Lepisosteus oculatus: one gene and its partners. The protein of the gene in region 1 interacts with the protein of each later gene in a pairwise test. Links are inferred from orthologs where the notes say so. Each region holds a gene or a part of one and is shown in the gene's direction. Other genes may lie near its edges.

Region 1 (8,338 bases):
GGTTTTACATTATACCATTTGACGAAATTATATTTTCAATCATATGATTGTTTGTTTGGGTGTAACTGTCTCTGGTGCATCTATCTGATCAATTCAGCTGTCAAATTCCAAGGAACATTCAAGATCTTTCGGCAGGAGACGCCACTTAGCATTTTCAGTGATTTTAACTGTAGGAGCGCAGAAGACACGTCTGCATCGGTTTCGAGTTTACTAGGTTTAGTTCTAAGCTTCATTTTATTTTCACACCTGTAATACAGCACTCGCGTCTGAGAAAAGGGCTCTAACGAAGCTTTAGTGCCGCACAACGGGAGAGGCAGGCTACTGCTTGCGAGAGCGAATTCAAATAAAATCGCGGAGGAAGGCAACGCGCAATTACACTGCTTCTATATGCTGTGAGACAATAAGGCTATTTATACTTTTGAAATCGCAGTGGAAATTGATTAATAAGCGGCTTTCAAATTCTCTTACTCATTAATCGGTTTAAGGAAAGTAATGCTCTTCTGAACAGATAAGTGGACGACGTGCAGTCTCTGTCTCCATCCTTCTGCGCGCTCCGAGGAACCGGCGAGCTCCGGCTTTAACGCAGAGCGCTTCACACGGAGGCAGTCCATTCATCCGCCCATCGCTGCCGTGACAGGAACATCTCGCATTTGCTTTCTTTGCATTTACAACTAACTCCGACGCATTTCTTTTTTTTTATTATTTCACCCACTCTCTCCGGTTTTTCTTCAACAGCAACAGGACTAGGGAACATCGAGCCGCGGCGTCTGAGAGAGGCGCATTCACGTACAGTAACTGTGTGTGAAGTGGAATCCTCATTATTTTATTTCGGGTTTGCAGTAGTAGGTGATATACAGATCATAATCCTGGAGGCATTTTTGACAAATCAAAGAGAAAGAAGTGTGATTTCTTTTTTTTTTTGCGGACGAAGAGTGTTTGATGTTTTCCTACTGTATGTCTGTCCTTTCATCCATTTTTCCTTAAGCTCTTTATACCCGGAAGCTCGTGGGAGCCGGGCACGGGCAGGAGGCAGGACCACACCCTGGGCACCTGCAGGCATGGCACCAGTGGAGCCACCCAGCTGGTCTCCGGACTCCAGAGCAGCCGGAGACAACCCACCTGCCAGCGCAGAAGTCACAGTCCAGGAGTCCCAGCTCTAGTCAGGAGCTAGCCGCCACGCCGCCCTCTTTTCCCCATTATCAACTACTGTATACAGTATATTCCCTATAATTCGGTAATACAAATATAGTATTTGTTACAGTTAAACGACTGACGAAGTATTGAATAACTGCACTTTATTTAATAACATAAGACGTGTTTATTAAATAAAGTGCTGGAAAGTAACACTGTGGTCCAATGAAAGTGCAGTTTCAAATCTCAGATCAAGCCTTTAATCACCATCAGGGTATCTGGCTGGTGGTTTTATCCAAAACGACGGACCTTGTTCCTCTGTGTACAGATGCGTAGTGCATCACGAGCGCTGCGCGGCGAGTGGCCGTGGTCCCGCTCACACCAAGCGCCTTCGCGTCAAGGATGCGATACAATAAATTAATAACGAGCCTGTAAGGTGACGTAAATCACTGCTCGTAAACATAAAGAGTGACTTTTCTCCGCGGGAGAGTGTTTGCCCGACTGTTCAACGCCAGCCGCGCTCCTTATACAGATACATGGGAAAGTTATGGCGCACAGTATTGATATTAAAAATCAGGCAAAAAGCTCTGTAAAAACTCAGGGTAGACGCGTGCCTCTTGGGGAATTTAATTTTAAAAATAAACTCCATCGTGTCAACACGAGATTGAAGGAGGGACTTCCATCTCTCCTTCGGCAAACAGAATGGTGTACCCAACTCAGCCTCCAGCAGCCACTGCCTGTAACTGGAGTGCGTTATTAAGAATCTGCCGACAAATTTCTCCGTTCTCCAGCTCACACATACTGTATATACACATATTCCACCACCACAACTCCTATACACACCCGCTTCCCCACTACTACTGTAGATTATTAACATAACAGCAGCAACAACAAAAAGTTCATCATCTTAGCCTTCTTCTCGCTCATACACAGAAAACTATTTTTGGCAAGATCGCAGTACTGAATCTCTGCCATTCTTCCAGTCTTCTGTGTACTGTAGAGATTGGAGGAATAGGAGGTTTTTACACAAACCCGACCACATTTAGGACGGAGGGGGTGGAGTTGGGGGGGGGTTACAATCGGGCTTGGACAGAACAGACCAACATGCGAAGGACACAGCAAGTCCAGCGTGCACGACCGCTCCTTCAGCGCACAAGCACCTGTCTTCTATAAACAGGTAAACGGGGTGCCATGCTTATTACACCGACCGAGCAGGACGACGAGCCAATATCACGAAACACGGGGAAAGAGATAAGAACGAAAAGGGGTTTTAACCGCAGTACAGCGGAAGTTTTCTCCCCCTCTCCCCTTTAACACCCGTTTCATGCCTTCACCAGAGAATTCACGCTGGATGCTGAACATAAGCTATTGTATCCAGATAATGGAGGATGTCCGAGGCACCGCGTTATGCGTCCGGTGTGTTTCAAATCTATTTATCTCCGAGGAACTTAACGATGGATTGACAGTAAATAACAGCCATCGCTAACCAACAAGCGTACAGTACAAAAACGCCGTCTTGTCGCACAGGGTACTGCTCCTGACTTCTCCCGCTGGCGGAAACGTGAAATGGGCAACTTACCCTTCGCAGAAGAAGCCAGCAATCCCATGTACAAGAAGAGAACCCGGCTCCAGTAGTGTACCGGCACTTCCACCCTCATTAGCGCAAAAATCCCCAGTCTGTCCAGTTTCCTCGGGCCGCTGTAAGAGCATCTACACGCAGTCCTTACCAGTCCTCTTCCCTCCGAATTCAAAGAGGCTCTCATGGCAGAAATCTGGCAGCGACGCTATCAGATGGTTTGAAAGGGAAGATTCACTTTGTATCGGCGCTGAGAAAAATCCCAGTGCATTGAGGCTCCGCTCCTGCAGCTGGAATGAACCATCTCCTGCAGATCCCGGGGTTGGGAAATCTCAAGCCAAAAGATCCCCCCCCCCCCCCCAAAAAAAAAAAAACCAAGAAAAAGACAAGAAAGACTTATCTAGCCGAGATCAAGGCTCATATGTACTCCTCCCTTCTGGAAATCCGGGTTTTCTATTTTGTGTTTTAGGTAGGGTTAACCCGCCTTCCGCTCTGCTCTTCCTTCGAAGATGGACAGTATTCTTATTTTGATGTATTAGATGAACGAATAGGATAATCGCTACTGTTCATATCCCCGGTCTCACTCCGGTGTGGAATTATAACGCTGCTGCCAATTAAGCGCTGATCAGACGCAACTGTGAAGGAAAACCGATGCCTTTTATCGACAGTAAAGTTTTCCTCTTCTCACACATCTTGGGATTGTCTCTCAGCGGAACAATGGTTCGTTTCTTTTCCAGCTTCTCCTGGCCGTTCGTGATTACCGTATTTCACGTTTTATCGACGCTGCTGTTGAGCGCGGAGACTGCGGAGTGCGGCTTCTCCCCTCTCGCGTTCTCCCTCTCTCTCCTTCGAGTATAACCCGCCTTATTGGTGATCGTGCTTAGCCTATCATAAGGCTTCGTGTCCTGGCGCTCTGCTCGTTCACATGATACTTTTGAGATTGATAATCATACGTTTTAAATGAACGGCTGACCACGGAATGCGTTACACAGGGGGGTCCCCAGGGCCCGAGCCCGCGGGCCGAGACGCCCCCACCTGCCGGCGTGCAGCGCCGCTGAGCCCGTTACTGATCTCACTCTGAACCTTCACGGGTGTTTTTTTTATATATACTGTATATACAGTATATACACCACTCAAAAAGACAAAAGAATGTGTTAAAACCCAGACTGCTCTTGTGCACAGTACACGAAAACGATTGAAGGTATCAGTTTGAGTCCATTACGTATACCGGTTTCTGAGGGATCCACAATTATACTTTCACTTTTCCTCGCAGGTAAAAGCCCATATACAGTATGAAAAACACCTGGCCACGTCCTGTATTGGCACTATCTAACCATTGTGTTCGCCTTACGTGTGTAGAACTGAAATGTATTAATTAAATTACAGGGCAATATCTTTTATTAATATTTGACGGTTTCTGACAAGAACACGAAACCATCATCTAAAACCTGAGTATCGTCCTGGATATCTGATAACACTAAATACTGTAAGCAGTGCATGAAACTTGCAGTATTTTAGTCGGCATTTATTTTTTCATTGGAACACAAATGACCGTGTTGTCAGAATACACAGACGCATTACAATGTGAACGCGTTTACAGTGGTTTACAATTTAGAGTGAACATTATTGCTTTGTACTTGAATCATTTATCATACTCTGAATTATTCACTGACCTCGGAGCAAGAGCAAAGTGGAAATAATTTGAAAACACGCTCACGTTTTTTTTTTTAGTACAACAAAGTTTTTAAAGCAATTAATATTTAACAAGGAGAACAAAGGGAACTATAAGGTTAATACTCTCTGCTCCTCAAAATGCAGTACATTTATTCAAAACAGCGGGACCCAGTAGCTAAAGATGAAAAAAAATAATAATTAAATGTGTAAAGATGATTAAGCAGTGAGGTCACACTGTAAGCCACTGAATCACAAAACGTATTTAGCTGACATCGTACGTATTGCTTATGGAGTGAGAAAGCTTTATCGGATATACATTACACAATGCATATATACTGTACATTTTAACGGTAGCACTCAGAAAATGCCCACGTCTAGCATGTACCGTACATCACGCCCCCAAACCGCCGGACGGGCAGGAGGTAGGATTTTCGATTTTCTGCGGAGAGCAGTAGAATGTGCTTCAGCTGCACTCGCCGCTGCCTCCGGGGAGTAACAAGGACTCGAGAGTTCATCTGTTTTGCACCCGATAGATAATCAAAGTCCTTTGACTCCGAGCATTTGGGGACCCTGCTCGCTCCTGCTGCTGGTCTGGCACCCCAGCTGCACTATCGGGGTATCTCCGCTGGCTCCACCAAAGTCGGCCGAGAGGAATCGTGCCAAAGCGCAGCAGCGGTTTAACTACGGTGCTGAACCAGCCCCTACAGCTCCCATCACCGGTCACACCCCAGTTTCCTGTCGGAAATACTACAGTTGTCACTTTGGATAGACGTGGTAGTATAGATCACAATAATGCAATGCTATTCATTTGTAATACTGATATATTTGGTTAAATGAACAGTTAAGTGCGTTTAAAATGATCTGTGAAACAGTTTTCCGCTCTTCAAGGCCAGACAGCCTCTACAATTGACGCCGAACACACGCCAGTGAATTTCAGTGTCATTTGCATTTCTTCGCCGTAACAGGTAATTAGTTTCCTTACACCCCTGACGATAAAGTCATCCGGTTAATGAAATGTGTCTGTCTTTAAACATAATATTCAAATAGTGTCTACGTGCAGAGTCAAGAATTCATACTCACAAATTATGCTAAATAATGCCTAAAGTGCCCGGGCAACGCCAGTGTGGCATTAACAAGTCATTTAATTGTTTCTTCTCGTCTCCTCTCGGGACTTTGTCTTCCCCTGGCACTGCCCGCTCCAGACCTCCCACGACAGAGAGCTGACAGGTTTCTCCCTGCCGCCATCTAGAGCCTCATGCGCCCTCCGCTTGCGCTTTCTGCGCTCATGCTGTAGGTACAGGGCGAGCAGCTCTGTGACGCCTGTGAGCGTATTATTCATTGTTTAAAACTATGTTTAAACGGCTCCTCGCCATTTCTAAAGCTTCCACTTGCTGTCCGAATTTATCGCCGCACAAAGGTTGTAACCGGGTCTGTTTCGGGAGCTGGAAAGAAAGTATTGTTCTGAAGTCAATTATTTTGAATACCCTTTTCGAGTTCGTTCACTGCCCCTTCTCTGCGAATGTTGCGCTCGTTCTGCCTCGTTGGGCTTTATCCCTCTAAGATATTTTTCTTTGTCGCTTTTGAATTCCCGTGTTATATTCATTCCTATCCATCCAGATTGTTGTGTTTAAATATACCGGCTGTACATACTGTAGTACACGCGCACTTGCACGTACTGTAACCTGTTGTCGCTCAAACTTCTAATACACTTGTTGCTATGGTTTCCTTTATTGTTGTTATTATTTATAAATCACAGATCGAAGAATTAAACCCAAACATTCCATTGGTGTGGTCGGGTCTTCAGGGTGGTCAGCAGCCCAAACCAGCTTCACTAAAGACACTCGAGTTTTCAGGAAAATGTTCCCGAGAGTGGATCGCGTTAAAACCAAGCGCCAGCTGAAGAGGGCCTACGCGGCGGGTCCCTTCCCTCGATCTGTGTGGATACACGACAAAGCGCCCGAAGACGACTTGGATAAAGTCTGCTATGAAATATGGAAGAGGGTTCAGGTGGCGACGGCCGGCTCATCGGCACGGCCTACCGCTGCAGACAGGTACCCGTCAGCCGGACTGAGTCTAGCGCCGCCAACAGCGCCGGGCCGGCACCTGTGGCCGTGAACTCGGCCGGCCAGCAGGGTCGGGAGCGTGTGTCCAAGTACGGCCTTCTCGGCGCGTTACTGCGGGGTCACAGTAGATTCAAGGTTGGATTTCTGGAGAGAGGGCCAAGCTTTTATGCCGCACGTGAGGTTTTAATTTGAGAATAAAAAAATAAGGCGGTCAAGGCTCAAACCTTGTGATTGAGTAAGGGTCATCCTTTAAACCCTGTGTACAACTTTTATTTTATTTTTTAATAATTGATTGCAAATTCATTCATGAGCCGTCGTGCCTGAAACGGGAAAAAAGCCCCTCCTTCCAGCGGCGAGCTCAGTTCAAGCTAAGGAAAAAAAAAAAGTTCAAGCTAAGGGTTCGCCTGCAGTACAGTAGAAGCACAAACGGCGAAGCACCGGCACCAGTCAAACGTTGGAGCACAACGTGACCATTTTTCTTACCTTTCCCCCTTCTTACAAAGTTGCTAGAGCTCCGTTTCTTCCTTTCCTCAGTGGTGCCAAGGCTGCACTCGCATGTTCCTGTGCTGAGAAAGGAGCACATCATTCAGAATCAAGGGACTGAAGAGAAACGCTACAGATCATAAGAGATCTGTGGAAAGACATTAACTTGGAAAGCTCATAGATACTAATTCACAGTCACTGGAAAATATGAGCTACTGTATCATAACTATAGTAATTAGAAAGTCAGTTGTTCTGAAATGTACACCTGAGAGTGGACGCCGGACTCACATCAGGCATTGCAGATGCCTACAAGGAATGGACACAACACAGGACTTCCAGCATTCAAGATAAACTGTAAAAAAAAGTCTGGTGAACTAACACCAAACTGAATCACTTATTACAGCCGTTGTTTTGCTTTATGTACAGTAATTATTGATAACAACAGCTGGAGTTTAAATCGTTTCTAAATCCTTTTCATACTGCTTGAAATTTTCTGTAGAAAGGGCAACTCGTACGTTTTTTGAAAAACTATCTCTTTTTCAGAATTGTCTTCTTCAAATTCCATTATTACAGTGTATCACAGATCTGCAGGGAAAAAAAAACTGGCCAGCTCGCTCCGAGCCTGTCGTTCAGGTGTGCGCGTGTGTTGTCATCGAGCCTGCTTGCGGGTGCTTTTCTGTTGTTTCTTGTCTCGCCTGCTGAAGCTCAGGCCCCTAATCTCCCACACAAACAGTGCCATCTGTCCCCTGGCTGCTCAGGGAATGCCACCTCTCAGGTAACTGTGCCCACGTGACTGTGCCAGCGCATCAGCTGGAGAGCTCCACAGCTCAAACACAATGTGTAACTAACAAGAAGTTGTTTCAAACTCATTCTAAGGGATATTTTCTGCCACTGGGATGAAAACTTAATTTGATCATTTATTTTGTACAGACAGATAAACTGTTATGTTTTCTTCTGCCTTTTTTTTGTCTGATGACCAATATTTACAGCTGTGCCGGTTTTTTTATCCCCTCTTCTAATGGCTGCTCCATCCCTCTGGAACGCAGGGCCCCGGAGCCCGCTGACTTGGTCCCGCCGGCGCCGCGGGAGCTTCCGAGCGCGACGGCAGAGCCGGCACCCCCAGCGGGCAGCCGGGACGCACAGCGAGCACGCTGGACGCACCCCGAGCCCGCCGCCGAGGGAGTGGGCTCTGTGGAGAGGAAGAGGAAGAGCATAGAGGTGTTCCTCCGGGCAGTCCTCCAGGGCAAAGAGGCCGGGAGACCAGAGCAGCTGCCGCAAGGAGCTCTGCCTGCTGGGCTCGGGAGCTCCTGCAGCAGCACGGAGGCCCCAGCTCCCGACAGCAAGGCCTCCCAGGGCCTCTCCCAGTTTCCCGGGAAGTCCTCAGAATCCGGCCTGGCATGGCCGGGGCAGG
Region 2 (7,704 bases), on another chromosome or scaffold:
GGAACTTTAGGCAGGACAGACTAGGCAAATGAACAGTGCAACTGTGGATGATCAACTAGTCAGGATTTCGGTTAAATGTTTTATCTCAAGGATGGAAACCTCCTCCAGCACAGTCTGTGCACTTCGCACACTGGGACATTAGCTTGGAAGTCAAGGTCTAGAGGGAAGAACTCACATTTCTGATATGTCAATATGTCATTTACAGCATCAACTTGGTTTTCCTAATACATGAGATATCTTTTCCCCCTGCTGGCCAATCTCAGTGTTGCTCTGCTTTTGAGATCTGCCTACACGGTAATAATGTTGCTGTCTAATTGTAAGATGGGAAAAGGGTCAAAGCGCTTGACCTGACCTGACATTTATAAACAATCTCTCTTCCCAAAAAGTACAGAAATAAACATAAATGAAAAACTTCTGAACAGATTAAGATTCCACTGCAAATATCCATTTAAAAAGTCACATTGATTCCTTTCTCACACTGTTAACTGCAGCTGATAATATAAGTCTTAAAAAATACCATTAAGTACCGAAGTTGAAACCGTGTTTTCATGTCGTCATTTCAGCTGTGATGCTGGAGGGGAGGTAGAAAAATACGAGAAAACTAAAGCCAGGCATGGGGACAAGGAGTTCTTCAGGTTCATGAAGACGATCTCGCTGTGTCCAGGGCAGGTGTTAAGGTAAAGAGACTTTTCCCGCATTCACACTTTTACAGACAAATGAAAATACAACCTCAGATCAGAGAGGTTTTGGCAGTGTTGATGGCTAACTTCACTGCATCATGCACATCCACCATTATTCCATGAATCAATGCAAACATCACTTAATTTTCACTGGATGTCATGAATTCCATAATCCTGCGAAGTGCAGCACTATTTTCCAGTCACAAAACATACAAATGACTGGCAAGAAGATGTATGTGAACAGTATGTATATTTTAGTATTTTCAGCTTTGGATTAGTGCACAACTTAACACTTAATTGTCAGAAGAACTATAGAGGCGTAGGGTAAAAAATTGTAGTTTTCAATAGGGCACCTTCACTTTCAGAGAATTACATTAATTTAGATTTTTTAAGCAAAAGCGCTTGCCAGTAAATGAATTACGGTAGGAAGCACTTACACCCATGAGTCACTTTCAAAGCTGTTTGACTGTGGACTCCCAAGATTCCAGAGCAAAGGTACTTCTCTCAGGCATCTGCCAAATAATAATTATACGGGAAGTAGTTTTCCTGGAAATGTCAGGCCTGTAAAATTACAAAGCACAGGGCAGTAGTGGGTGGGGACAGAGTAATAAGGATCCTTGCCCGTTTGTCTTTATCAACCACAGCTGTCCTGTTTTGCAGGTATTGTTGGAATGGGCAGCCCGTGTTCATTACCTGCCCTCCCTCCCACATGCAGAAGACGGTCCCCCCCTGCGCTCACTGCGGGAGCCCCAGAATCTTCGAGTTTCAGCTCATGCCCGCGCTGGTCAGCATGCTCCGCGGCGCCAATGAAGACGGTGGGTGTCGGATTAAGAAGGAAATCTTTATCCAAATTGGCAAGCAGGATTTCATTGCTTGGGTAGAAAAAGATGCATAACATGCAAGTTTCCAATGAAAATTCAGGAGGGGTGACAGCAGCCAACTTCAATTAGCCTAAATCTTAATCCTGATGTAATTTCCTCAAGTTAAAAAAACTGGAATAATTATACCTAAGTCCCTTCTCTCATTTGCATTAGTCTTTTTACATCCTTTTACCCCATTTCTACATTCGCAGCTGCTTCTAAGTTCACACCTCCTCTCTACATGGGGGGCTCTCTGTCTCTCAGCCAGGCGGGTTAGGCCAAATTTACTGTGACTAGCACTCTGTATTTTTTCAACACACTTAATGCTCGGGTGGTGTTATTCCTGATGAATATCAAGCAAAAGCACAGACCTCAGTGAAAAGTAGTGTAGAGAAATTACAGAACTTGTTCATTGTTAAAGGCAGCTTGTATGGTTTGAATTTCATAGCCAATCCTTCTATTCTCCTGTGGTCAGCCATTGCAAACACCTTTGTCTCTGAGACACTGGCTCTTCTCTTGCTCCTCTAGACTGGACGGTGGAGTTTGGGATTGTGCTCATTTACACCTGCAGAGACAGCTGCTGGCCATCCAGAAACCAGACACCAGTGGAGGAGTTCCCTTTTGTACAGGCAGACCCCGATCAGAAATTGTTCAGATAGAAGTGTCAATAAAAAGAAATGAAAGTCCAAAATGTTGTGTTTTGACCTGCTTAGAAATTATCACAAAGGTCAAGTGACCTTTGCAAAGAAGCAAAGCAATTACATGCATACATAAACATTAACCTTACATTCAGCAAACAGAATTATAAAACAGATGCTCACGATGGGAGGCTTAATAACTGAAGCAGGAGAATTTAAAGTTCAAACAGCATCAACGGTTTGGATGTAGGATCTTACAAGATTTCATGTCTGATCTGCATTGCTAACCCTGTTCAGCCCGGGGTTCAGAAACCTAAACATTTTCAAAGTTAGAAAATTAAGAAATCATGAACACATGTTAAAACTAATAAAATTAAGCAAGTGTGAAACTGCAGAGGGAATTAACTAATTCATATATTCATTGTAAAATGTTAAATGATTTCACCTAAAACAAGGCCTCCTGTGTTGCTATAATTTTTAAAAAAAGATTTCAGTCTTTTGTTCAAAATACTAGAATTTGTCGTGAATAATTGCACAAAAATTGCAAGCGAGTAAATGATAAGCAACAACCAAGTGAAAAAAAAAATTCTGCAAATAAAAATAGAATAACTGGATTGGATAAGAGGACATCCCCTGCCAGTTCATACCTGGAAGCACCTTTTGCTTGGTTACAGCCTGAGGTCTGTTTGGATACACCTCTACCAACTTTGCACACCTAGAGGGAGGAATATTTGCCCATTCCTCCTCACAGAATATTTCAAGCTCAAACTGCGTGGTGACTTGATGGACTGCCCTCTTCAAGTCAAAGATTTTCGATGGGATTGAGGTCTGGGCTCTGACTAGACCACTCAAGGACATTCACCTTCCTGTCCTTCAGTCACTGTATGGTTGCTTTGGTGGTGTGCTGTGGGTCATTGTTACGTTGAAAGGTGAACCATCTTCCCATTTTCAACTTCCTGGCCGACGGCTGCAGGTTTTCTTCAAGGATTTGCCTGTATTTTGCACCATCCATCTTCCCTTCTATCCTGAGAAGTGCCCCTGTTCCAGCAGAAGAGATATACCCCCACAACAAGATGCTGGCACCACAGTGCTTTACTGTAGGAATGGTGTTCTCTGGGTGGTAAGATGTATTGGGTTTTTGCCAGACATACCATTTTGTATTCTGGCAAAAAGGTTTGATTTTGGTCTCAGCTGACCACAGCACCTTTTGCCACTTGGCCACAGTGTCTTTAAGGTGCTTTTATGTGGCTTTTTTCTCGCCACCCTTCCATACAGGTCAGTTTTGTGGAGCGCTTGTGATATTGTTGTCATGTGCACACAATTGATCATAGGTGGGAGTCAATTCGTTTGTTGTGTGATCTGCAAGGTGATTGGTTATACCTGAGCACGTTTACAAATGCAGTTGTAAAGGGGGTGTTCACTTACCCAAATAAGGTATTTTACTGTTGTAATACTAATTAATTTTTTAGAATGCTTTAGAATTTTATTATCGCTTGGCTAATGTGGGTTACCGTGTGTAAATAAAAAAATGGAACAAGCCTCGTTTAATTTGTTTTTATTTTCAGTGTCATGCAACAAAAGGTACAAATTGTGAAAGGAGGTGGTGCCTTTCTATACCCACTGTATGATGTTGCAGAATGGTAAACGGATTTGCAGGTACTATAACCTCAATATAAGCTTTTGCATGTCTTTTTTTTTTAAAGGAATACGAACTTACGACGAGACCTGGAATACCGTTAAGTACTCAGTAGTTGATTCTACCCCAGTACACATACAATCTTCCACATCGCCTAAAACAGTAGCCCTTGGACCTGAACAAAACCCCGAACTTCTGATGGACACAGAAATAAAATCCCAACGGTTTGCTCGCATCACGGTACGAGTCCTTGTCCCCCACAAAGCACCTCAACGTCACTCGTTATCTCCGCGGCTCGTCTGCAGGGCTCCGCGCCGAAGTCGAAGCAGTTTCGGAAAACCAGAGAAGTTAACAGGGCCCCCTTTTTTTTTTTTCGTGGAAAGGTGTCGTTGTTGTTGTTGTAGCCACACAGGAAGCAAACGGAAGGCGCCCGAAACGGACCGGCTCGCCTACACCCGCCGGCCCCGCCCCCTCCCCGCAGAGCGCCCGAGCCACTGCGCCGCCGCAGAGCAGGCAGCGCGAGGGGAGCGGAGCGCGCAGGAGCCGGCCTGGGCTCTTTTTTTTTTTTCCTCTCGCGAGGAAGGACGCCATTATCGGAATCCCTAACAAACAACACGAGAATTCATCATTCACACGGTAATATAAACCGAACTGACGCTGCTGGTATTGTGCTGCCGGAGTCGGGCTGGAGACGGGGGTCCGAGCGATAGTCATTTTCCGTAGAAATATTGTCCCCCCCCCCTCCCCGCCTTCTATGCAGAATGCATGTATGCATTTTAACATTGTGTTTCTGTTTGTACCAGTAACCTTACGATAGACATTTTAATGTCTCTGTTCATTGCTAAGTGCACTGGAGCGCCGGGGCCTACTTCAAAAGTCTCCGTGTAGGCGATCTTCCCCAGTGATCGCCTGCTGTTAATTTTATTTTGTGAAACCTGTGTCTTCATATTATTATTATTTACTCGATAGGCATTGCTGTCAAATAAAATGGAGTATTTCCGCTGTTGCTCCTGAAAATATTTTTCCGCTTGTTTTGTATTTTATACGAATGTTGCTGAACTCCATTTGCAACCATATATGGTTGGTATTCCTTCAGATATTTTTTTTATTTGTTAGGGTGATATAATTTTGCAAAAGCAAGCGAATTTACATGCTTTTGGTCATGCCAGGCAAGTGAGATTTTGGTGTGTAAACGACTTTTGCACGTCGGCTACGATGGACGTTTTTGGTTGCAAAGTCAGATTGGTATGTCTTGATTGATCAGGTCTCTACAGACCTGCGGTTGCTCTAAGACACTTTTTCGTTTTTAAAACGCTTAGCAAAGACGAATCGTGAACACATTTTTGACAAGCCACAGTGTACGCTTAGTAGCAAAGCAAACTACTGTATTTCTGGTATATCCTACCAGTTGAGTCGTCGTTTCATCATTATTAGTCGATGGCACATTTACAGTGATGATTATTTTAAGATACTACGTTTCTTGCAGGGGTGACTTTCATTAAGCAAGCTTTTATTAAATTATCTCCAGTGGTGTTGAGATGGCTTTATAACTTAAATAGATTTTTTTTTGTAATGATCGTGTCAAAAGCAAATATCAAATATCACGTTCTGTAATATATGAAGTGAAGAACTGCAAGTTCGTGACACTCAATTTCAGGCCTCCTACAATAGATTAACCTGCTGTGTAAATTATATCTCAGAACCACCTGAATTTTGAAATATTTTTTTTACTCCTGCTACTGGTGTGTTCTGTATATTTGTTTTTCAGTTATTGCTCAAAGCCCTCCAAAATTGTATTTCCTGATTTGTTTTGAAAGCAATTAAAAAACATTTTATTCCCCATTATGGCGCTGATAGATCAGTAATATTCAGCGTGTACTTACAATCACACACGGACATATTGAGTGGATACAGATTTTTAGAATATCCTGTACATTTGAAGAAGGCTGGGTGGAGCATAGTTTAGATGCTGGAGAAGACAGGTTTTGCTCCCTTTTTCTGTTCTTTCCAGCGTGGAAATGCAGCTATACACATGGTAAACGTAGATCTGAATGAAGTGGTCTTACTGCCTTTTGGTTTAAGGAAGATGGCATTTGATTTGCAAAAAATACATTCATTTTCATTTTGTGGACTTTCACGTGTGGTGTGTCAGGAGTGTCCACCTGTGCCGGGGCAATTTCTCATATTTTGTCCCAGATTGAGGGTGATACGTGGTCCTTGTCCACCCACACACACACACACACAGCAGATGTTTTCCATCAACACACCTTCTGGGTCCTGCTCCTTGATTCTCAGCACTGTCGCTCCTTAAGTCTGTGCCATGTGCAACCACAGGAAATGATTAAGAGCAGAAGATAAATTGACTTGTGTCGAGAGAATGTTTCAGCTTGTAAGGTTTCGATGGAAATCAGGTTTTTGTCTTATTTCTGTTTGGAATATTACTTTTGATGGGGCGCCATGGTGGTTAGTATGGGTGCCCTGTGGTTCCCGGGCCCTGAGTTCAGTGCCAGTCTGTGTAAAGTCTCCCCATGTTTCCATGAAGGGCGCTCCACAGCTCCACATGCCCTCCAAAGACGTACTGGCTTCGTTAGTTGGTGTCTGTAATTTGTGCCTGTGTGTCTGGGCATACGTTGTGATGAACATACATCCTATCCAGGGTGAAGTCTCTTACCACAAATATGTGCTTTTCTGATGATGGATAGATGGATGTTCCTGGTGTATGTGGAGAGCACAGATTACAGAGTTGTATGAACAACACTACATAGTGACGCATTACCTGTAACTACAAGCCCTTTAGTGGCCTGTTAGGATCACAGAGATGGAACCGATTTTGACAAAACAGCAAGAAGTGATTTCAAAGTATTGTTTTGCTTGATTGCAAGCTGTCCATTGTCATAAATGAAACTGATCTGGCTAAATTTTGGAATATTAGCCCATGTAGGCTTGCAGCAACAGGACCATGTGTTGTTCTTGTGTGAAAAAGGCCTCTAGAATTGTTTTATTACACAAAAGTTATGTTGAACTTTGCCTTAAAGAACATCAGCTGGGTGGAAAGTAAGATGCACAGCACTGTTTTGTTTTTAACTCTGCAAAATATTCAGACACAGGTCCTAACCTGCATTTTATCATTTCAAATAAAGCTCCTCACAAAGTATTCTGCTGCAACATTCATTCTGCTTGCATTGTAACTGTTCTTATGTTGTTATGGATAAGCAGTGCTTAAAAATAGAATGTTATGTAAGTCACGATGATATTGCTTTTCCTAGTGGAAAGTGTCACTCAGTACTGGAGAAATAGAAAACGTGCCAGGACTAAATAGTAACCATTAAAGAACTGTCGTTCTGGAAAAGCATTTCTGAAGTTGCGGAGACAGGCAAGTGGGCAGGTTTAAGGAAAGAGAAACTGAAAGAGTGGTAGTGGTGAAATTAATTAAAGAAAACTTCCTTCAACAAGTTTAGCTAGTCAAGATGTTTTTATAAATTGAGTAGCTCTTCAACAGCTCAATCAGTAATGATGCCTGCATGGCAATATCCTGTCTTTAACTGTGGATAACTGATAACTGATAAATAGAGCATTTTGTTATCCATCTGTTCTAGGGCATATATGCATTCATAACTGAAGACACAATAATGAATACATTATTTAATTTTTAAAACATAAAGTGATGTACGCTTCTCATCTTGCACTATGTACTTTAGTGTTTATTATTAATATTATTCTAACTTTCCAGAAAATCAAATTAATGCAGCTGTCTGAAATTACAAGCAAAATACGTTCTTCACTCACATCCCTCAGATCCACACAGGCTTTTTTTTTTAAGGGGTTTAACAATTTACAGTTGCTTATTGTTTCTCATAAGTTCTTCCCCTCTTTCTCTGGGATCTCCGAGG
Region 3 (8,204 bases), on another chromosome or scaffold:
TGAGCCCAGGAATGTATTTGCTCAATTTTCCTCAGCCTGATTCTAGAACAGGAGTGTATTTTTTTTTGTAAGGTGCAAACCAAAACTGCACACAGTTCTAGCCGCGATCCTCCTAGTACACTGTTGTATTTTAACACGGGTGCACACTCTGGGGCTCACCTGAAAGGCCGACCTGCTGGCCCAGCACTGTGGCGTAGAGATGGGTGATGTTGCGGGAGTAACCCCCGAACGGGCGCAGGGGGTCAAGCGTGAGGGTGATGGGGACAGAGATGTTGATGGGACCCGAGTCCTCCAGCAGGGGGGGGGCCTGAGTGTTGAGCCGGGCCTGGCCGCTGGTCACGGTGCTCTCCGGCGTAGTCGACTCATTCAGCCCATGCTTCAGGGTCTCGTTCTCCGAGATACAGAAATCCAGCTCGTTGAAGCGCAGCAGGAAGGTGTTCCAGTCCTTGCAAATTTAAAAGGCATAAATGCTAGTGCATGCCTGCTTTTCAATCCACGCAGATCACAGTTCAACAACGCTCTCACAGTTTTATGAAAGTCACAGTTTTAAAGGGCATGATGTTTTGATTTTTACTTTCATTTGAAACTTAAATTTAAATCAATGCTTTTCCTCCTAAAACGTCTCACTTTCTATACACACATAAAAGGTTTTAAACATTCGTGGAAATGAACAATCCGGCTCAGCAAAAAGTATACGGAGCATCAAAATAAATACTCAATTTCTGCATGCATGCTTTCCGAAAAATAGAGCAGACAGATTTTGGATACTGAATCAATGGATCAAGTGTCATTTGGATTAACTGATCACTCACGACTAACTTGAGTGACTTTGAATAAGCAATTAACAACCTCATTAGTGAAAGCTGATTGGGGCCATGTAATGAAATGAATTAACCTGTTGAACTTCAAGCATTCTGGATCAATACAGAAAGCAATCCACATGCCTGGCTTATCAAGAGAACAATATCTTTATGCCATTGGAATGCTGGGGGTTGGAATAAGTAGGAGCACCACTGGCATACTCCAAGCCAGCAATTTCTATCATTGCAACATGTTACAGCCAAATAAGGTCTAGCAGTTAAACTATACGAGATGTCGCAACACTCTGCCAAGATTGACATTTCCACGCTCTGAGTCACTTTTTCACATTCCGCCGCATCGGGAACGCCAGGTAGCCACAGCTGATTGAAGATGACCTAACAGGACATCGTTACACTGATCAAGACTGGGAACCTCACTTGAAGCCCATCCTGTGGGCTCACCCTGATGGGACAACATGCCAGCAGCACAAAGGCACGCTCTCATGCTTCTCTTGTAGCGACAGCAGAATTGGAAGATGAGAATGTGACAGTTATGCTGTGGATATCTTCTTGCCAGACTTCAGTCCGACTGAACATCTGTGGACAAGCTGGGACAATATGTGGCATCAAGGGTACAAAGAGCAATCAACAGGCATGTTCTTAAGGCTGTAAGAGGAATGAAGCAGAATCCCACAAGACAGTATATGCAACATAGTGCAAAACATGCAAGACAGACATACAAGCTTGTATTGCTTCTGACTGTGGTCATACTACTAGCCTGTGGATTTCAGAGTACACCATGTGTTAATCCATGCATCCATGTCCTAACCACTTCATCCAATTCATGTTTGCGGTGGAGCTGGAGCCTATCCTGGCAAGCAACAGGGACAAGGCAGGATACACCCTGGATGGGACGCCAGTCTATCACAGGGCACACCCAGACACAAACACGCATACTCATACCAGGGCCTATTTTCACACAAACTCCACAGAAATAACACCCCAGGAATTGAACTAAGGGCCCCAACGCTGTAAGGAAACAATGTTAACCCCTGCTCCACGAGCTTCCCGCTATGTTAATGACAAACGTTAATAAGCATAGCAAATTTGCCTATATCAAACTGGAAGTGCACCAACGACAAAAAGCTGGTAGTGCTTTGCATTTTTTTTCAAAGGTTATGTATCTTTTAAAGCTCAGAATAATTCGTGTATAGTGGATCTGTCAAATGTTGGATGATAACTGATAACTTCCAAGGTTCAAATGTTAACGTTCTGAAAAACAAAAACTAGAAGGGCCAATCTGGGGGCTGATTAGTTACAGAAATCACTCTGCAGCCGGTTTCTTGAGTGTGCATCACATCAGTGAGGTAACGTGGTTTTGTAACCTTTTTTTGACACTTTCAGCTTGAAAGCTCTTTAAGATTGTCGTCAAGAATTCTGTGAATTCCAAAGGAGAAAAAAAAAAAATCCATTACTTGAGCCAGAATGTGCTAGTACAAGTGGCGCTGCCTGGGTCTGATCTGGCAATCTCCCAGCTCTGGGCCCTGTTCTGTCCTCCCAGGCACAGGCCCATGCCAAAAGAACCAGTGAGAATCCCTGCAAACCACTTTTACATCCTTTTATTTCATCTGAAAAGATGTCTAGCATCTACCTTTAGCAAGAGGAGCTCAGTAACAAGTGAACTTAGACAAGAGTATGCAACCAATTAAAATAAAACTGACAGTGAATCATTTATTGCTAAATATGCCAATGAATGTTTTACTGAAGAAGCAACGGGGAATCCTCCCACCTCAGTCATCTCTGGGGATTTGATCTCCTTAATTTTGAAGAAGTAGCCGATAGTGAGGAAGGCAATGGCCACAGCACTTACACTGACCATAAAAATGACCAGTGGAGGCCGGCTACTGATGTAGGTCTTCAGATTCTCCAGGGGATTGATGCTGAGCATTGCTCCTGTCAAATACACCTGCAAACACAAAGACAGTCAGTTCACACCAGTGCTCACCAAAGCAAAGCAGCAAAATAAACTGCTGCTTGTGAGGATCAAAGATCTTTCCAACCCGATAGCTCCCAATTTTATCACTAATGGCCGCGCTCTATCTGCATCCTCACAGAGGGGTTTCGGAACTCGTATTGCACAACGACATCTGAAACCCAAATGATCCAGAAACATGGACCACTTCTTCCCCTTTTCTTAACAACAGACTCATCTCCTTCTCAATTCATTTGCAGAGTTCGGTTTTTCACACCTCTCCTCCTGTTCTCACTGAGTTTGGACACTCGTTCTCACCTGCTTCACAACCGCCCCTACTTAACTACTCTGTCTTTTCTTCTCTGCCTTATTTATCTGCTAGTTCCCCTCTCTCTCTGTTACACCTGATGAAGGCTCCTCAGTCGAAACCTTGTGCTTCATTTCTTTACCTTTCGCCATGCAATGAAACCTGTTCCTTTACTGCCTACAAGGACAGATTCCACAAAATTCAGAATTTGCACTTAATTTACATGTTATTACATGAGAGCTTCTTTGACTATTGTCTATTGTAAACTGACTGGACCAACTAAAATGAACTATTTACTGTTAAGATATACTGGATGGTGACAAAATTCACTGAAGACCTACAGAGCTCCACTGCACAAACATTTACTTAAGGGGCCTGCTCTGCTGAAGAAAAAAACACTTTTCAAAGGAAAGGAAATGCACCTACATGACTGAACATACAAGTGTGTGGTGGACATTGAAGAAACCACAGAAGCTTTAAATGTCAGATTTTCTGTCCAGTGGAAGTTGACTCTTAATCTGGTACTGAAGAGACTATTTTAACTCTTAACAGAATACATATCTCTGCAAATGGAGGATGGCTTTAGACTAATAGACGTTCCTAAGCATTTGTAAGCAAATGCTGAGGAAACAATGCTAAAAAAAACAAAACAATTAAGCAGCCACAGAATGCATTCTTTGAAAAAGAAAGCTTTCACCTGCAACAGCAACTGAACCGCCCTGCAGAGCTGTCTGGTCAGTACAGTGGCAAAGCTACAGCAGAAAGGTACGCTAGACGAAGGAAATAGAGAACAACTAAAACTAGCAAGAACATGAAGACACGGGTCCACACATCTTTATATAGAGAAATAAAAGAACCCTTGAAAAATAGAAAAAATGGGTATAGGCATTACAGAAGAAAGACTGCCATCACAATAAAACAAATGCCCAATAACACCTGTAAAACACAATAGCAGGCAGTCGTACTTCCTAGATTACAGGTCATTCCGTCTTGCACTGCAACACCGGAGGGCCAAAGATTTTAACAGAAATAGCTTTGTATTAAAAAAAAAATACAAAATCCTTCGTTCACAGTCATTATTTCCACACACTAGGCACTGAGTGCAAACTTCCACGCGTGTCTTTCGTTCACAGTAAATAAAAAAGACTGACACCGATGTGTTGGCTCCTGTCAAGAGCCTGTAATTAAAAGTCAACTGTCATAACACCCGTGGACTTGCCTTTTAGTCTGTCTTGCGATATTTTCTTCCTAATGACAATTCAAAGCTAAATAATACATTTCCCCCCCACGTTTACTAAAAACAAACCACGCAGATCTCGCAGTAACTTCCTCTGAGCGCCACCTGGTCAAAAGGTCTCCCGACAGCTGACGATAACTACCGTTTACAAAGGCACAACTACAAAATGGCCAGGCTGCTCACTAACTGTGGCGTACCTGCCTGCATTTAAATCCTAGGTGATCTAAAAAACCTCTGCTCATGTACACCGGCAAGGTGCGACCCTGACGCAACCAATGCTGTCAACAACGTTAAAGCTCAAGACAAAAGTGAGCACAGTCAAACCACTGCGCACATCACCATTAACACGTCAATACACAGACGGAGACCCCAGTGAAGACACGTATGGTTTTCTTCCTCTGTGAGGAATGAGCACGTATGTGAATGTCACGCTTAGGGGTTGTTTTCGAGGGAGTGCGACGCCACCAAAAAACAACAACAACAACAACAACACGATATCAGTTTATCCATGAAGTTTCTCGATCAATTTACGACGACGGGCATTATGACGGGTATTTGTAAAGCGCCACAGTCAGTTGTTTTTATTTGTGCATCAGTGAAATACGTCATATTTATTATCTACAACATCCTGCACTTCCAGCCAGCTTGCTGGCGAACACGCAGCAGCCCGGCCTTATTTACTCCTTTAATGCGTTTCAACAACCGTGGGGAGGGGAGGGAAAAAAAAGTCCCCCCCCCCCCCCCTCCCAATTGGTGGGCTTATTCGAGCAGCGCGTTTCAAAGCGAACAGCTCGCAACCTCAAATACCTGTCGGAGGCGGATTGCTGATTTGCCATGAAGACAATTACTCACCATTTTTCTTTCCTTGTGAGCCGCGGCTTGCGAGTCGATATTAGATCCGGAGAGTAAATTTCGGCCTCACGGGACAGTCGGAGCTTATAGCACTGGAAGGGCCGCTTGCCTCCTGTCCCATTATCTGCCCGTCCCTGCCAGCCTCGGTTCCCAGTTCACTTTCCTTTAATACTCAAGGATGTTGTTTTTACTCTTCTCGCACCTACTGCCTGCCGAGCCTTGCCTCTATTTACCGAGCTGACGGCTTCGTCGCCACTGCGCAGGCGTACGCCATCTCCGGCCCTATTCGCGAAACGCCCCTGCGGACTCTACGTAGGAATCGTCCCTTGTCGTCGTCCCCCGCACCGCTACGCCAAACCCGCGCCGCTTTAGTCGATTACACACGCCCCTCTTGTTTACGGAGTTTTTCTTTCCGGGATGACGTCAAACTCTCACTTTCAAACAGGAGAAACGCTTAGGAGGGCATGTCGACTTAACTGGTACTGACATCGACACAGGGAATTAAAGCGCTAAAGGCATTAGCACACTAAACTGCCATTAAAACCTGAATTCTTCTGGGAGGGAAACTCTCTTTTCTCTGCTAGAGGGTGAAGCGCGAAGCCGGACGTTGCCCAGTTGGTAAGGATAGCAGACAGACCACGTTCAATCTTTTGTGCTTCGCAAAACAACATCCCTTGACCCACTCTGCAAACAGCTTTAGACAATTTAAAGTTACGAGTTTATATTCACGGTACAGTAGTACGAGCCTGCATTTCAGAAAGCATTCCCCTCTCCGCCTGTGGCACATGGGAAGTTTGAAACTACCAGCGCTGTGAATCTGGTTCTGCATCTAGCCTGATGTCGATTCTCTTTTCAAGAACCTCGCTGAAAAGAGTACTAATATTACCATGATTTTTCATTAACAAAAATATCCACAGTTTGATAACCTAATGGTACTGTGTTTTTTTACGCTTCACTTTATAAACCATATTATGGAACAGCTCTGAACTTGCAGTGGATGCAATGTGTCATCTATTTAATGATTTGTACAAATTAATCTTTTTAATGGTTCTAACTCATGCACAGCTGCCAGGAGCCATGGTCTTCCTCAGAGAGGGCCTGTGTCCCGGCTTGACTGAAGAAGTGATACAGGCACTGCGGACCCAAGAGATCAGGACAGGTCAGGATATTGATCACATGGCTGGGCACTGAGACAGTATTGCCAGGAACATTTTAACTGATGTTATGTTATACTGTCCTTTGCAAGATGTACAGTATCATGGAAAGGAACTTTTATTTATAATTAATCTGTTATTCATAATGGGTAAATATCACATACACAAATATATATATATATGTATAATTATATAATTATATTCCTTCCTTTAATGATTATAAGGTGAAAATGCAACATTGAGTTTAAATTCCATTAAAAACCTGGAATATAACCAGGAAAAAAACACAACTGATGTATGTAAAAATATTAACTTATTGTGTTCAGATTTGTTATTATCTGTATCATTGTATTTTTTTGTTTGATCTTTTTGGCCGCCTTTTCTCCTTTGTATTGTTTCGTGTTTAATAAACCTTAAAAACATTTTATACTGCAATGAAAAAGTAGATCCTACACTTGTAAAAAGCACATTTTGATATTAAGGTATCTGTGCTAGCTATACTAGTGGAGCAGGTAGATCTTTGTGACTCCCACAAACAACCAAAACATGCATTGTATATGTCCAGACCGATAAAAGCTTTTTAAAATAGTCTTGGGGATCAGTCAACAGAGTATATTTATTTTGAATATGTATTAGCAACCGAATCTAAGTTGACACAATTTACATTCAGTGGAAGACCTGGTCTCATCAGAACTTGAGGAACTTGCTCAGAAGTGCTCCATATCCTACAAGGTAGGAAAAAACATGTTTCTCCTCAAAACCTATAACCAACAGGTTTATTTCCCGCCAGTGCTGCTTAATTGTGCAGAGCTGTGCACACGCTCACACCAGGGCCAGTTTTCCCAGGGGCCAGTGAACCTGGCAGCTTGTCTTTGAACTGTGGGAGGAAAGCGAAGCACCCAGCAAAAACTACGCAAACTACGCAAACATGGGGAGAACATACAAGACTCAGGCAAATAGCACCCCAGGAATTGAACACGAACAATGCTAACCACTGTGCAACTGGGCCGTCTGCTTATCTAATTAAGTGCCTTAATTAGGAGCTAATTTGCCTTCCTAGTCAGGCACATCGTCAACCTCTTTCAGCGAGTCGTAGCTTGCTAGGACGAATGTGTAGTGGCGCCCACTTTCAGGCACATGTTTCTTGGGCATGATGCATTCCAGTTGTTCTCTCTGCACAGCACCTAGGCCTACTGCAAAAACATCTGGAGCAAATGTTAACTACTGCACTGCCATTCTGCACATATGGTTAATCACTGCTTTTTTAAGTGTGTTACGTGTCCGTGGTAAAATCAATGTGGCTTTATAACCTCATTTTACATGGCTCTTCCCCTTGTGTTTTAGGCGCTGGTAGCTATACGCCGTGTCCTCCTTACTCAGCACACTGGCTTTCCTGTCTCGGGAGCTGATCTCTACGAGGAGCTGCTGAGCTCCATGGCGATCCTGTCCACAGGAAATGAGAGGTGAGGGGCCCTTTCTCTTTCTGGGCCCTTTCTCCGCGGCTTTTACCCAGTGGAGAATTTCAACAGCGAGGGGATTCACCCAGGTTACATACCAGCCAGACGACAATGCCAGGGGGGGTCACCTGGCATCTAGCACAGCCTGTTACTCCCAATTTTCATAAGGTATTGCCTCATATATATTCAGTTAGCAAGAAATGAATATAAGCTTATGAGTTCGCAAAAATAACATTGCTGAGTAATAGCTGAGCTATGCACTGGACTATTGGAGCCGATGGCTTCTTTTAAGAAGAGATCCTTGAATCAATTACAATAGCTGCTAACAATCACACAGTCTGAACAGTCTCCAGTTGTTTGTTACCTTTCTTATGTCCCTATGAGACAGTCGCTGGACAGTCCCAGCTCCGGCCCATCTTTCACCA

What was found.
Region 2: the proteins of uncharacterized protein C1orf94 (region 1) and banp interact in binary tests that used the Homo sapiens proteins (3 or more experiments, as listed by UniProt). The two-hybrid records come from large-scale screens. The link is inferred for Lepisosteus oculatus from reciprocal best matches to the Homo sapiens genes C1orf94 and BANP.
Region 3: the proteins of uncharacterized protein C1orf94 (region 1) and rad51d interact in binary tests that used the Homo sapiens proteins (3 or more experiments, as listed by UniProt). The two-hybrid records come from large-scale screens. The link is inferred for Lepisosteus oculatus from reciprocal best matches to the Homo sapiens genes C1orf94 and RAD51D.

The regions. Positions count from the first base shown.
Region 1 is NC_090706.1:1,999,479-2,007,816, forward strand, and holds the start of uncharacterized protein C1orf94, read left to right. Parts: upstream 1-4,714; 5' UTR 4,715-4,745; coding exon 4,746-4,803; exon of another isoform or gene 4,804-5,155; intron 5,156-5,269; exon of another isoform or gene 5,270-5,346; intron 5,347-5,461; exon of another isoform or gene 5,462-6,058; intron 6,059-6,137; coding exon 6,138-6,432; intron 6,433-7,973; coding exon 7,974-8,338. Other genes in the region: csmd2 (CUB and sushi domain-containing protein 2), read right to left, coding at 2,711-2,894.
Region 2 is NC_090715.1:13,363,908-13,371,611, forward strand, and holds the start of banp (protein BANP), read left to right. Parts: upstream 1-4,313; 5' UTR 4,314-4,450; intron 4,451-7,704. Other genes in the region: pdcd2l (programmed cell death protein 2-like), read left to right, coding at 564-677, 1,341-1,495, 2,069-2,199. UniProt on the Homo sapiens protein: Controls V(D)J recombination during T-cell development by repressing T-cell receptor (TCR) beta enhancer function. Binds to scaffold/matrix attachment region beta (S/MARbeta), an ATC-rich DNA sequence located upstream of the TCR beta enhancer.
Region 3 is NC_090721.1:1,695,416-1,703,619, forward strand, and holds the start of rad51d (DNA repair protein RAD51 homolog 4), read left to right. Parts: upstream 1-4,813; 5' UTR 4,814-4,867; intron 4,868-5,168; coding exon of another isoform or gene 5,169-5,171; exon of another isoform or gene 5,172-5,426; intron 5,427-5,539; exon of another isoform or gene 5,540-5,786; intron 5,787-6,233; 5' UTR 6,234-6,245; coding exon 6,246-6,327; intron 6,328-6,992; coding exon 6,993-7,054; intron 7,055-7,666; coding exon 7,667-7,785; intron 7,786-8,204. Other genes in the region: tmem248 (transmembrane protein 248), read right to left, coding at 160-445, 2,590-2,766, 3,506-3,517. UniProt on the Homo sapiens protein: Involved in the homologous recombination repair (HRR) pathway of double-stranded DNA breaks arising during DNA replication or induced by DNA-damaging agents. Bind to single-stranded DNA (ssDNA) and has DNA-dependent ATPase activity.